Rhinolophus ferrumequinum: one gene and its partner. The protein of the gene in region 1 interacts with the protein of each later gene in a pairwise test. Links are inferred from orthologs where the notes say so. Each region holds a gene or a part of one and is shown in the gene's direction. Other genes may lie near its edges.

Evidence for each region. The genes of interacting proteins can lie anywhere in the genome.
Region 2: the proteins of RPA1 (region 1) and RPA4 interact in binary tests that used the Homo sapiens proteins (3 or more experiments, as listed by UniProt). The link is inferred for Rhinolophus ferrumequinum from reciprocal best matches to the Homo sapiens genes RPA1 and RPA4.

Annotation. Positions count from the first base shown.
Region 1 is NC_046304.1:16,154,705-16,161,773, reverse strand, and holds the start of RPA1 (replication protein A 70 kDa DNA-binding subunit), read left to right. Parts: upstream 1-4,062; 5' UTR 4,063-4,165; coding exon 4,166-4,198; intron 4,199-7,069. Other genes in the region: SMYD4 (SET and MYND domain-containing protein 4), read right to left, coding at 2,596-2,729. UniProt on the Homo sapiens protein: As part of the heterotrimeric replication protein A complex (RPA/RP-A), binds and stabilizes single-stranded DNA intermediates that form during DNA replication or upon DNA stress.
Region 2 is NC_046284.1:57,984,162-57,989,289, reverse strand, and holds RPA4 (replication protein A 30 kDa subunit), read left to right. Parts: upstream 1-3,810; coding exon 3,811-4,599; downstream 4,600-5,128. Other genes in the region: DIAPH2 (protein diaphanous homolog 2), read left to right, coding at 1,186-1,325.

The DNA of each region.
Region 1 (7,069 bases):
CATATGACAAACCCACAGTTAATATCATTCCCAATGGGGAAAAGCTAAACGCATTCCCCTTAAGATCAGGAACAAGACAAGATTGCCCACTTTCCCCACTTTTATTCAACATAGTCCTGGAAGTTTTAGCCACAGCAATTAGACGAGAAAAAGAAATAAAAGGCATCTAAATTGTAAAGGAGGAAGTAAAATAGTCATTATATGCAGATGACATGATACTATATATAATCCCAAAGATTCCACCAAAAAAACTATTAGAACTGATAAACAAATTTAGTAAAGTAGGATACAAAATTAATATTCAGAAATCGGTTGCATTTTTATACACCAATAACGAATTATAAGAGAAATTAAGAAAACAATCCCATTTACAATTGCATCAAAAAAATATTTAGGAATAAATTTAACCAAGGAAGTAAAAGACCTATACTCAGAAAATTATAAGACATTAAAGAGAGACATTAAAGAAGATACAAATAAATGGAAATATATACCATGCTCATGGATAGGAACAATTAATATAGTTAAAATGTCCATATTACTCAAAACAATATATAGATTCAACACAATCCCTATCAAAATACGAATGAAATTTTTCACAGAACTAGAACAAATAAACCTAAAATTTATATGAAACTATAAAAGACCCCGAATAGCCATGGCAATCCTGAGAAATAAGAACAAAGCGGGAAGTATCATGATACCTATATCAAAGTATACTACAAGGCTATAGAAATCAAAACAGCATGGTATTGGCATAAAAACAGACACATAGATCAATAGAACAGAAGAGAGAGCCCAGAAATAAATCCATGCCTATATGGTCATTTACTCTATGACAAAGAAAGCAAGAATTTACATTGGGGTAAAGACAGTCTATTTAATAAATGGTGCTGGGATAACTGGACAGATATATGCAAAAAAAATAAACTGGACCACCTTCTTCTGCCATATACAAGAATAAACTCAAAATGGATTAAACACTTAAATGTAAGACCCCAAACCATAAAACTGTTAGAAGAAAGTATAGGAAGTCAGACATTACCTTTAGTAATATTTTACTGATATATCTCCTCGGGCAAAGAAACCAAAGAAAAAATAAACAAATGGGACTACATCAAACTAAAAAGTTTTTTCCCAGCAAAGGAAACCATTAACAAAACAAAAAGACATCCTATTGAATGGGGGAAGATATTTGCCAATGATACACCTGATAAGGGGTTAATATCCAAAATTTATTTAAAAAACTCATACAATTCAACACCAAAAAACCAAACAATCCAATTGAAAAATGGGCAAAGGACATGAAGAAACATTTCTTCATAGAGGACATACAGATGGCCAATAGACACATGAAAAGATGTTCAACATAACTAATCATCAGAGAAATGCAAATAAAAACCACAATGAGATACCACCTCACTCCTATCTGAAAAGCTATCATCAATAAATTAACAAACAACAAGTGCTGGCGAGGATGTGGAGAATAATGGAACTCTGTGCACTGTTAGTGCGATTGCAAATTGGTGCAGCCATTATGGAAAACAGTATGGAGGTTCCTCAAAAAATTAAAAATAGAACTACTTTATGACCCCACAGTTCCACTCCTGGGTATTTATCCAAAGAAATTCAAAACACTAATTCAAAAAATATATGTGCACCCCTATGTTTACTGCAGTGCTATTCACAATAGCCAAGATATGGAAACAACCCAAATGACCATCAGTAGATGACTAGATAGAGAAATTGTGGTACATTTATACAATGGAGTACTACTCGACCATAAAAAAGAACAAAATCTTTCCATTTTCAACAACATGGATGGACCAAGAGGATATTAGTCTAAATGAAATAAGTCAGACTGAGAAAGACAAATATCATATGATCTCAATCATATGTGGAATCTAAAGAACAGAATACACGAGCAAACAAAACAGAAGTAGACTCAGAGATACAGAGAAAAAAAACTGATGGTTGCTACTAGATGGGAGGGGGTAGGAGGGAGAAGGTGAAGGGATTAGAAAGTACAAACCGGTAGTCACAAAGTAGTCACGGGGATGTGAACTACAGTACGGAGAATATAATCAGTAATGTAAAGATTATGTAGGGTGTCAGATGGGTACTGGAATTATCAGGGGGATCACTTCATAGATTGTGTAGATGCCTGATCACTGCACTGTACACCTGAAGCTGATGTAGAGTAATACTGAATGTCAACTATAATTAAATGTATATATATATAGTCACAGAATGTAAAGTACAGCATAGGGAATACAGTCAATGGTATTGCAATGGCTATGTATGATGTCAGAGGGGTAGTAGACTTGTTGGGGTTATCACTTTGTGAGGGGTATAAATGTCTAATCATGTTGTTTTGTACATCTGAAACTCATGAAAAATAAATAAAAATAAATAAAATAAATAAAATAGGGTTACTTGACCACACAAAAAAATTAAAATGACAAAATGCTTTATGCAAAAAACAAAATAAACTTAAAATCTTTCCATCAAAATGAGATATAACTTGAGAGCAAATGACAAAAGGGAACATTTTCCAGATTAAAATTTCCCTGGTTAAAGCTTTCATTAACTTACTGAAGAAGCGAAGAGGTGTGAAGAAAGACATCGCTCAAAGTCTCTGCTGTAGAAATTGTGACCTGAATGGACTTTGGGAGCAAAGCCCACTTCTGAAATAGGTATGATTTCCACTCATCTACGGGCAGATCCATGCTACTTTAAGTCTACAAAATGAATAAGAAAGTAAGGAATTTAGATTTCTACAAATGCACAATTTTTGAAAATCCAGATTTCATTCCAGCAAGCATGAAGCAACATAATCAATTCTTGTGCTCTTTTTCTATAGTTGTTTACATGCTGAAGAAGGATCTATATTTTCTCCAATTCACTCAACATTCTTTCATTCAGAGATTATTTATTGAAAACCTACTTTGTTCCAGGCACCACGCTAGGTGAATTGACAGCCACCATCCTTGTTCTCTTAGAACTCCATCTACCCTAGTTGCTCAAGTCAGAAACCTTAAGAGACCTCCCAGATTCTTCTTTCTCACTCTCCCCAGCAACTATTAACAAATATTTATATCTCTTACAGAGTTCAGTTTTTTTTTCAATCCCCAGGTCATTCTTTTAATTCAAGCCTTCACCATGTCTTGTCTGGCATTCTTTCCAGCCTGTCGTAACTAATCTCCATACCCTCAGTCCCCCCCCACCCCAATTTAATCCTTCTGCATTCAGACAGATGTCAGTACTCTGCCTTAACTTCATCAATGCTCCTCCTAGCATTTAGGAAAGCCCCATAGAAACCCTTCATTATTTGACCCTTGGCTTACTAATGTTCAAGTCTCACCTCCTCTGTAGGTAACTACTATCCTGAGCTATTCAATGCCATCCCCAGCTTGCCAGGCTATTCATCACTCCAGTTTTTGCATAGGCTATTCATTTTTCCAGGTTCATCCCTGCCCTCACTTGGAGTCCACCAAGCAAATTTCCACACATCCGTCAAGACTCAGTTCAAATGACACCTCCTCCGGGAAGCCTTTTCTGATTTTACATCAGTGTGATTCCAGCATACTTTGTCTCTCTCCTGGGGCCCATACCATGTCTACCTTGAGTTAGGGCTACTTACAGCGGAAGCTCCCGCGACAGCCTATGTTCTTTTCTGAGGGCAGGAACCAGGTTTTATTTACCTTCAGAAAGTGTGCTAAGCTCAGGATCAAGTCACTGCTTTGACTACATTTAGCAGCAGGGTTATCAGGGAGCAGCTCTAACTCTCCTCTGGGCTACCAGTCGAGCCGGGTATGTTTCCGAGAGCCCGCTCGCCAAGATCCCGGAACTGTTCCACTCGCTTCATTTAGCGGCGCTCGCGTCAACCTTGGCGCGTCCCGTAGCCTGGCTCTGTGCCCTCAGATCCCGCCATCCGGCGACTAGGCCTGAAGTTAGGCTTGGGAGGGTCACGTGGTCGTCCGCCGCGCCTCGGCCAATGCGGTGGCTGCTCAGCCCCTAGACCCGCCCCTGTGCCGTGTAAACGACAAGAGGCGGAAGTGGCGTACTCAGCTCCTCGGGCCAATTGCCTTAGAGCGCGCCGTACTCCGCGGGTGAAGCCTGGGCAGCAGCGCAGCCGAAGCGCGGGAGTTGTTGCGGCGGAGCCATGGTGGGCCACCTGAGCGAAGGGGCCATTGCGGTGAGGAGATGCCTGCGAGCTGGGCCGGAGGGCCGGAGTGGTTGTGGGCTCTGGGGCTGTGCGGATTGGAGAAGGGGAAGAAGAGCTGGAGGCGAGAGGGAAGAGAAAAGGAAAGGAGGAGATAGCGGGAATGGGTGGGGGGGAACCGCCGGGTGGACTCCCTAGAATCATCACCCTTTCTTGAAAGGATTTTTCCCATCGTCTTTTAAACATGCTTACGTTTTCCTGCTTAAGAACACGAAACAAAATAAACTGTTGACTCCCCCCATCTCCTGAGACTATTCTCTGTCTCCTTCCCTCCCCCCCCACCCACAGCCAAATTTCTCCAGAATTGTCTGTTTTCAGCTATTTCATTTCCGATTTCACAGAGAAAGTGTTTGAGCCTTCAAGCCCAGGTAGTCCATCTGACCCCGTGCCCTGGTCTGCTTGTCTGTCTCCTGCACTAGGCTGTCAGCGCATTGAGGTCAGAGACCTGTCTTGCTTTCTGTATCCCCAGTGCTTGGCACAGAGTAGACACTCAATACATGTTGAATTCATGAAAGCCAACGCTCACCAAACATAAACACTAGATGGGGTATTCTAAAGAGCCACACTTCTTGCAAAACTGCTAAAATGCAAAGGGATATTGCTCTTTTAGCTAAATCATGGCTGTTTAGAATTCTGGTTGTTTCAGAACTTTCTTATAGGTGCTGCAGAGTTGTGGGGTGTGGCTGACTGCAGTACATAGAGGACATACGGGTTTGCCACGCTCTCTGAGGCAATGAGAAATCGCTCCAATGAAACCAAAACCATATCTGCCATTTTAAAAACAATTAGAAAGAACTAAGCAGGGGCACAGAAAAGAGCATTTCTTAGTTGATTCTGGAGAAATGAACCTGAGCCTTGTCCACAGTGGCAGCAGGACTTGGAATGTCCGGGCACAGCTGAAAGGACGACTTCTGAGAGCCACTGGAGTTGCACAACCGCCCTCCATCAACCCATTAACCCACTTTAATCAGTCACCCCCATGATCACTGTAGAAATAACTAGGGCTGAAATTCACAGTGCCTCCAAGTGGCTAAATCCAACAGATGCTTCAATTTTCAATTTATCAGAGTGCTCAGCAGCATTTGAGTCTTGAGCATTGCTTCCTTCTGGTGACAATCTCTTCTTTGCGCTTCTGTGGCGCAGCTTGGCTGGTTTTCACATCCTATTTACAGGTTTCTCTTTGTAAATGTTTGTTGACTCAAGGCTCTCTTCCAAGACAACCTCATTACCATCTCTATGTTACTTGCTCACAAGTTTCTTTGTCCGGAGTCACCTTTTACTCTGAAAGACAAAACTCTAATTTATCCTACCTGATACCTCAAAGTCATTTAAATTTCAACATGTCCCAAATCAGAACTATCTTTCTGAATCTGGGCCGCTTGGTATTCTCTATCTGGGTGAATTGCACTATTATCCATTAAGTTATGCTAGCCAGAAATTGAGCAATTGAGGACTCATTCTTCCTGTGTCACCCTGAATGTTCAGGATACATGTTTACTTGCACATGTATCTCTTAACTCCATCTACTTCCCTCCATCCTCGCTGGCACCATCATTTTTTGCCTGGATCACTCACTGCCACTCAGCATACCCTCCTCCTGCTATTTCCATTATAGCATATTCTCAACTTGTTCTCTCTTCCTTTCCAGTCCTTTTTCTCTTTAAATTCCTGGTTTATTCTATACCCTTGCCTTCCACAGGGTTTTGATCATTCTTTTCCCTCTGCCTACTGCCCAGGTGGTTTTTCACTCTCATAGGCTAACAGTCTTCACATCTCAGTTCAGTTGTTAACTTCCCATGCTAGGTGAAATCCAGTTATTTTGAGACCCAAATTTCTCTGAGTTCACTTATCAACTCTGTGACTTTGGGCAAGATGTTAAACTTGGCCTTTCCTCTTCTGTAAAATAGGGTAATAATATCTAATACCTATTGGATAGTGGGAGGATTAAGGGAGTTCTTACATTTAAAGTGCTTAGCCCATGCCAGATACATAGCGACTGCTCAGCATGTTAATTACCTATTGATAATCACAGATGTAAGCTTACATTTATTTGTTGTTGATTTGATTAATATCAGGTACTTTCTGTCTCCACCACTGGACTACATTTTTTTTAGGTCTGAAATGATGTCTGTTTGTTTTTTTTTTTTTTTTTTGCTCAGCATGGTACCTTGAATACCTGGGGCAGTGCTGGCAAGTTTTAGGTGCCCAATAAACGTTTGCTAGTTGCATATGAGGCGGTGAAAAGAAAGGGACAGAGATGAATGGGGAAGAAAGGGAGCTTGGGGGAAACAGGAAGGGGAAGAACAGTTGGCGGAATGAATGGATATTTTAATAAATTAGGAATAATTAGACCTGGGAAGTAATTGCAAATTGTCATCATTTACTTTATAGCTGCTTTTCAGACAAATTATGGGAGTAGGAAAAAAATTAGGAACAGCTCTTCACTTTAAAAAAAATGAATGATTATGAGGTTTTTGCTATATTCAAGATTTTAGAAACATATTTCTAGTGTCAGATAAAGTATTACTTCGGTTTTATTCATAAATGACAAAGAAAAGTTTTGCCTATGTTTGTGGTGACAGATTGTAGAGGACCTTTGTCAACTTTGATTATTAGCTAAAGCAAATAATATCATTTTAGTTTAAAAGACACAGGCCCTAATGGGCAAACAACTAACACACAAATAGCAGAGGCATTGTGGGCAAGAGCTAACACAAAGTAAGAGAGAATGCATGGGACTATTGTGATAAATAGAACGAACAGCTTTTATATTGTAAGTAACTGGGTAATATAAAGAAAGGCAAAGGAAGTAATGTTTTCGACCATTTCCAATGTGCCAGATAC
Region 2 (5,128 bases), on another chromosome or scaffold:
AGTTCCCCTGCATAAGACTTTGTCAGACTTTAAACCGTTACTATTTAATGGAATTTTTAAAAATTCAGACATTAAGAATGATTGACAGTTTCTATATTGAGAAGGCATTCTCAATAAAAAGCCAAATAGTATGAAACCCTAGGGAATCCATTTCTCATTATTAACACATTGGTTTTTCTTTTTTTTTTTTTAATTCTATATCCTCTAATGATATGACTTCTGTCAAATGGGGAAAAAATGCTTTCCTTATTGTAGCTTCGATACTTAGCAGAAACAGTGTAATTTGTATGAACTTAGAAAATGGGACTCAAGCTAGAGTTTTAATTCAGAGGGATATGTCTGTAATATAGGAAAGGTAAGTTATGATTATGTGTATGCAGAATGTGAAACTGTGAGTTATTAGTACAATGAGTGTGTTGATATTTTCCTCCCAGCCTTTTCCTTAAACTACTTACATAGTTACGGCAAGGTGATGAAGCTCGAGAGCTGTGATGAAATAATGAGTTCTAGAAATAACCCCAAGTATATTGGAAATTAAGTTAAAAACTAGTCACTATCAGATAAATGCTTTTAATGACTTTTTAGGATTAATCTATAACACAAGACTAACAAAGTTAGAAAGGAATAGTTGGGAATTGGTGAATGTTTTAGACTAATTTCATTAACTAATGTGCTGATTGGAAACTATTGTTTTACATTTGAAAACCGTTTTCACCTGTTGTTTTTGAGATAGGCTGATATATTTCAGTAGATTTGAGTAATGTATAGCGTTTTCTATGACATTCTCTTCACTGTATTTTGTGAAATAGAACATAAATATCTTAGCTAGGAAAATTAATAAGATGATTTCTGAATGTTCATCTAGTGGGTGAAGGGGGACCAGCTACTGATAATCCTAATGCCTGCACTGTAAATTTGAGCATTCCTGTCAGTGATACTTTTTGCAACTCCAGTCCATGTTCAATTCAGGCCACGAGCACCCGCAGTATAATTTTCTTTTAAATGAGGCTGAGGGGAGTGTTGAGATAGACATAACATGATTTTACCGCATCAGTTCTATGACCACAAATTTTTGAGTGCCTAGCACTCTGCACGCATTTTCGTACAGTAAAATATTTACATATTCTATGCATTATCTATTCTTAAAAATAATACGTATATACTTATATTTTCTTTTATATATAGGGAGGGCTGAAAAACAGCAAACATGAATGCACCCTGTCTTCACAAGAATACGTTCATGAATTACGATCTGGTATTTCAGATGAGAAACTTCTTAACTGCCTAGAATCTCTGCGGGTTTCTTTAACCAGCAATCCTGTCAGGTAAGTGGCTCTTATTGTTTTAGTATGATTCATACAATTTGTACTGTACATAATTGTTGGGAGCGTAATCATTCATGGTATTTGAACCTCAAGATTTTCTTTTTTCTTTCTTTTTTTGGGGGTCAATTTCCTCCCCCCCTTGCACCCACTGCCCTCTGCATTCGAGGAGCTTTCTCTGCTACACTTGCCTTCCCTCCCTGCCTCTCTGTCTGCTCTCCCTCCCACTCCTTTGTCCCACCCTGCCCAGGCTGCCCGGCTCCTGCAGCCTCCCGCACCCCCACCCACCATCCATGTGGAACCTCAAGATTTTCTGACCAGAAGTCTGATGTTAGTTAATAGAACAGCAGTGTCTGATTATGAGGTTGTAAACATTTAACAAATGTAGTTAAAATCTGATCACTAATCGTGCAATTTTAAGAATACAAATATTACTTGGATGTTAATTCCTCTTTGATTATATAAACATGGATCTAGAAGTTAAATATGCACATTTACATGGAAATATGTGTACTCATATAAAGATTATATTATTTGTAAAACAAATTCAGTATATTGGCTCCATGATATTATTCCTTTTCAACTTGAAGTAAATACATTTTTACATTCTTCTACAAGTTTTAGATCCACTACTCATACATTTCTGTAATTTGGGATAGCAAAAATTAAATTATTTTGACCAATAAAAGAAATGAGAAAGTATTAATAAATTCATTTTGGCACATAATTAAATTGCTATTTAAAATTAAAATCAGAATTTATCATTTTTTTCACATTTAAAAAAAAGGGAAGTATTAATAAACTTCAAAACGCTATACATTTAGGCTATTACCTAGATACGAAGTATAACTGATGTTACTTTATTAAACATAAAAAGCCTTAAAATAATTATATCCCAAATTAAATGTTTCTATAAGGAAAGTAGATGTTCAGAGTACTATGAAAATAGTTTTGGATCTACTTACACAGTTGCTAGACTCTTAAATTCAAATTACTGGATAACAGTATATAGAAACCACATTTTGATTTTATTCATGTTTTTCCTAGTATATCGTGGGGGCCACATCTTGTACGTCTCTCACCTATCCACAGAGCCTTAAAAACAATTTAGAGCTCTGTCATTCCATTTGTATTCACGTATAATTTGAAATATATCATACTTCAGTTGACCCTTGAACAACGCGAGGATTAGGGGTGATGATCACCAACCAAGTTGAAAATCGGCGTATAATTTAAGTTAGCCTTCTCCATAACACGGATTCCAGACTGCCAGTTGACCCTTGAACCATGCAGGTGTGGACTACCGGGGTATAAGTGGCCCCGCGTTGTTCAACGGTCAACTATATTTATTTTCACCTATAGTGCATTTGGCAGAGTAATTGGGAAATTACGATTCTACAATAAAACATTTTAAAAGGCAGTGGTAAGATGTAACTTACCTTTCAATGTTAAAAAAGGTAGCGGTCTTGGCTATTTCTTCTAGAATGCTTCTGGTTTTAATAATTTGAACAAGGATGTGAGTTCTTTGAGAACAGTAGCCATGACGGTGGTCCCCCCTACCCCCTCGTCGTTCCCCCACCCACCCCGTCACCCTTGTTTCCCCGCCCCCCTTGTCTTACCCCTCTCCCTCCCCCCCCCGCCCCCGCATGCAATTTACAGCACACTACTGTCGTGCACTTACATGTTCCGGAATTTTTGTTGAATGGTTAATTGAGTGAATAAATGATTCTATAAGATGTGATTATAGAAGAAATATGCTTCTGGTTTTAAGATTCGAACAAGGAAGTGAGTTCTTTCAGAACAGTAACGATGGAGATGGTTCCCCCATAATCCCCTTCACACCCCCCATCCCCCCACCTACAGCGCTCTACCATAGTGCACTTAACGTGTTCTGAAATTTCTGTGGCATGGTTAACTGACTAAGACGTGACTAAAGAAGTATGCTTCTGGTTTTAGTGATTTGAGCAAGAAAGTGAGTTCCTTCAGGACAGTAACCATGGCGGTAGTACCCCTGTCATTTACCGCCACCCCCTACCCCGTCTCCTTCACCCCTTGTCCCCCTCATCTATAGCACTTTGTGTTCCGAAATTTCTGTTGGATGGTTAACTTGAGTGAATAAATTAATCTTTAAGAAGTGACTATTGAAGAAGTTGTGACATTTAGGAACGAAGAGGGGGGGGCTGGCAAAAAAGTATTTTTATATGATGGCAGGAAAGGCTGAAATTACACACGGGGCCTTTAAAATGCAGCCCAGCAAGCAGGAGCTGACTCCAAAGAATTGTGGGATCAGTCGAGAAGCTGGCAGGTTCTGATTGGCTGGAGGCACCTACATTCTGGAAGCTGATTGGCTCCACTGGTGGCGTAAGCTGCTGGTGTCGTCACAAGGCACGCATTCGGTGGTCGCCCGCAGCAGAGGTCGGAGCCTGGCCGAGGACCTCGCCGACTAGAGCCAGATCCCGCCACGTCGTCGGCCTGAGCTGTCCTTAAGATGAGTACGAATGCTTTTGAGAGCAGCGGCGGCTTCTCTGCTGCGGGTGGAGGCAGTGGGAGCAATGAGCACCCCTCTCAGGGCGGCGCCCCTCCTGCTGCGATGGCTCCGAGATCCAGGGCTCGAATCCGGGACATTATACCTTGTTGTGTAAACCAGCTGCTCACGGCCACTCTGGTCGACAATGTTTTCAAGGTCAGGGGAATAGAGGTTTCCCAGGTCTCCATCGTGGGGCTCATCAGGAGGGTGGACAGAGCTCCATACTACATTCTTTACAAGATTGATGATATGACCTCCAAGCCTATCGACGCCCGCCACTGGCTCGGCAGAGACAGAGCGAAGCAGGAGCTGACTCCGTTTCCGGCGGGAGTATATGCCAAAGTGTTCGGTATCCTCAGAGGTTCCGCCGAGGTGAAGAGCCTTGAGGTGTTGAAGGTCCGCATCCTGGAAGACATGAATGAGTTCACCGCACATATTCTGGAAACGGTCAACGCGCACATGATCCTGGCTAAACGCCTCCAGGAGGCCCCTGGGCAGAATGCACCTGTTGCTCCATCCAAAGTGGAGGAGGTTGCGGAGTGCGGCGAGTCCAACCTCGACTTCATCAGGAAGGAGGTGCTGCGCTTGATCCACGAGTGTCCTCAACCGGAAGGCAAGAGCGTTCACGACCTCCAGACCGAGCTTCGCAGCCTGGGAGTCGGCGCCCTCCAGGAAGCCCTCGATTATCTGATGGTGGAGGGTCACATCTACCCCACGGTGGACCGGGAGCATTTTAAATCTGCCGATTGAAGCGCGAGAAGGTTTTTCATTTTCCGAAGACCCTTGCCTCCAGCTGTGAAGTGTGTTTGACCTGTTGACTTTTAAGAAGTAGTTTGTTGTTTTTCCGACAAAAGATCTCAACTGGCTTCCTTTGGAACCTCACTGCTTTTCCAACCGCTTTGAACTTTTCTGTTTTATATTTGAACCGCAGAGGGAGATGCGATGGATACATTGATTGGACTTTTTGTAGGATTTACCAGCAAACAAATGAAAACACTCCTGATGGGGTGAATTTGAGGGAGAAAAGGTACAGAAAAAGTTAAATATTATTTAGTTGAAGGAGAGCGTCTTTTTTTCTGAAATATCTGTGTATTAGGAGAAAATAGGTGTAGTCATGGAGCCAGCTGAGAGACAATTTTTTTTTCTGTTGTTTTTATGTTAGACTTATTTTCTAAGTTTGGTTTTAGCTTATTATCGTCATTGTTATTTCTTGCTAAATATAGTGATTAATTCAAATGTGCTAAAGATAGCAATTGAAAAATTGAAATGCTTAGTTCAT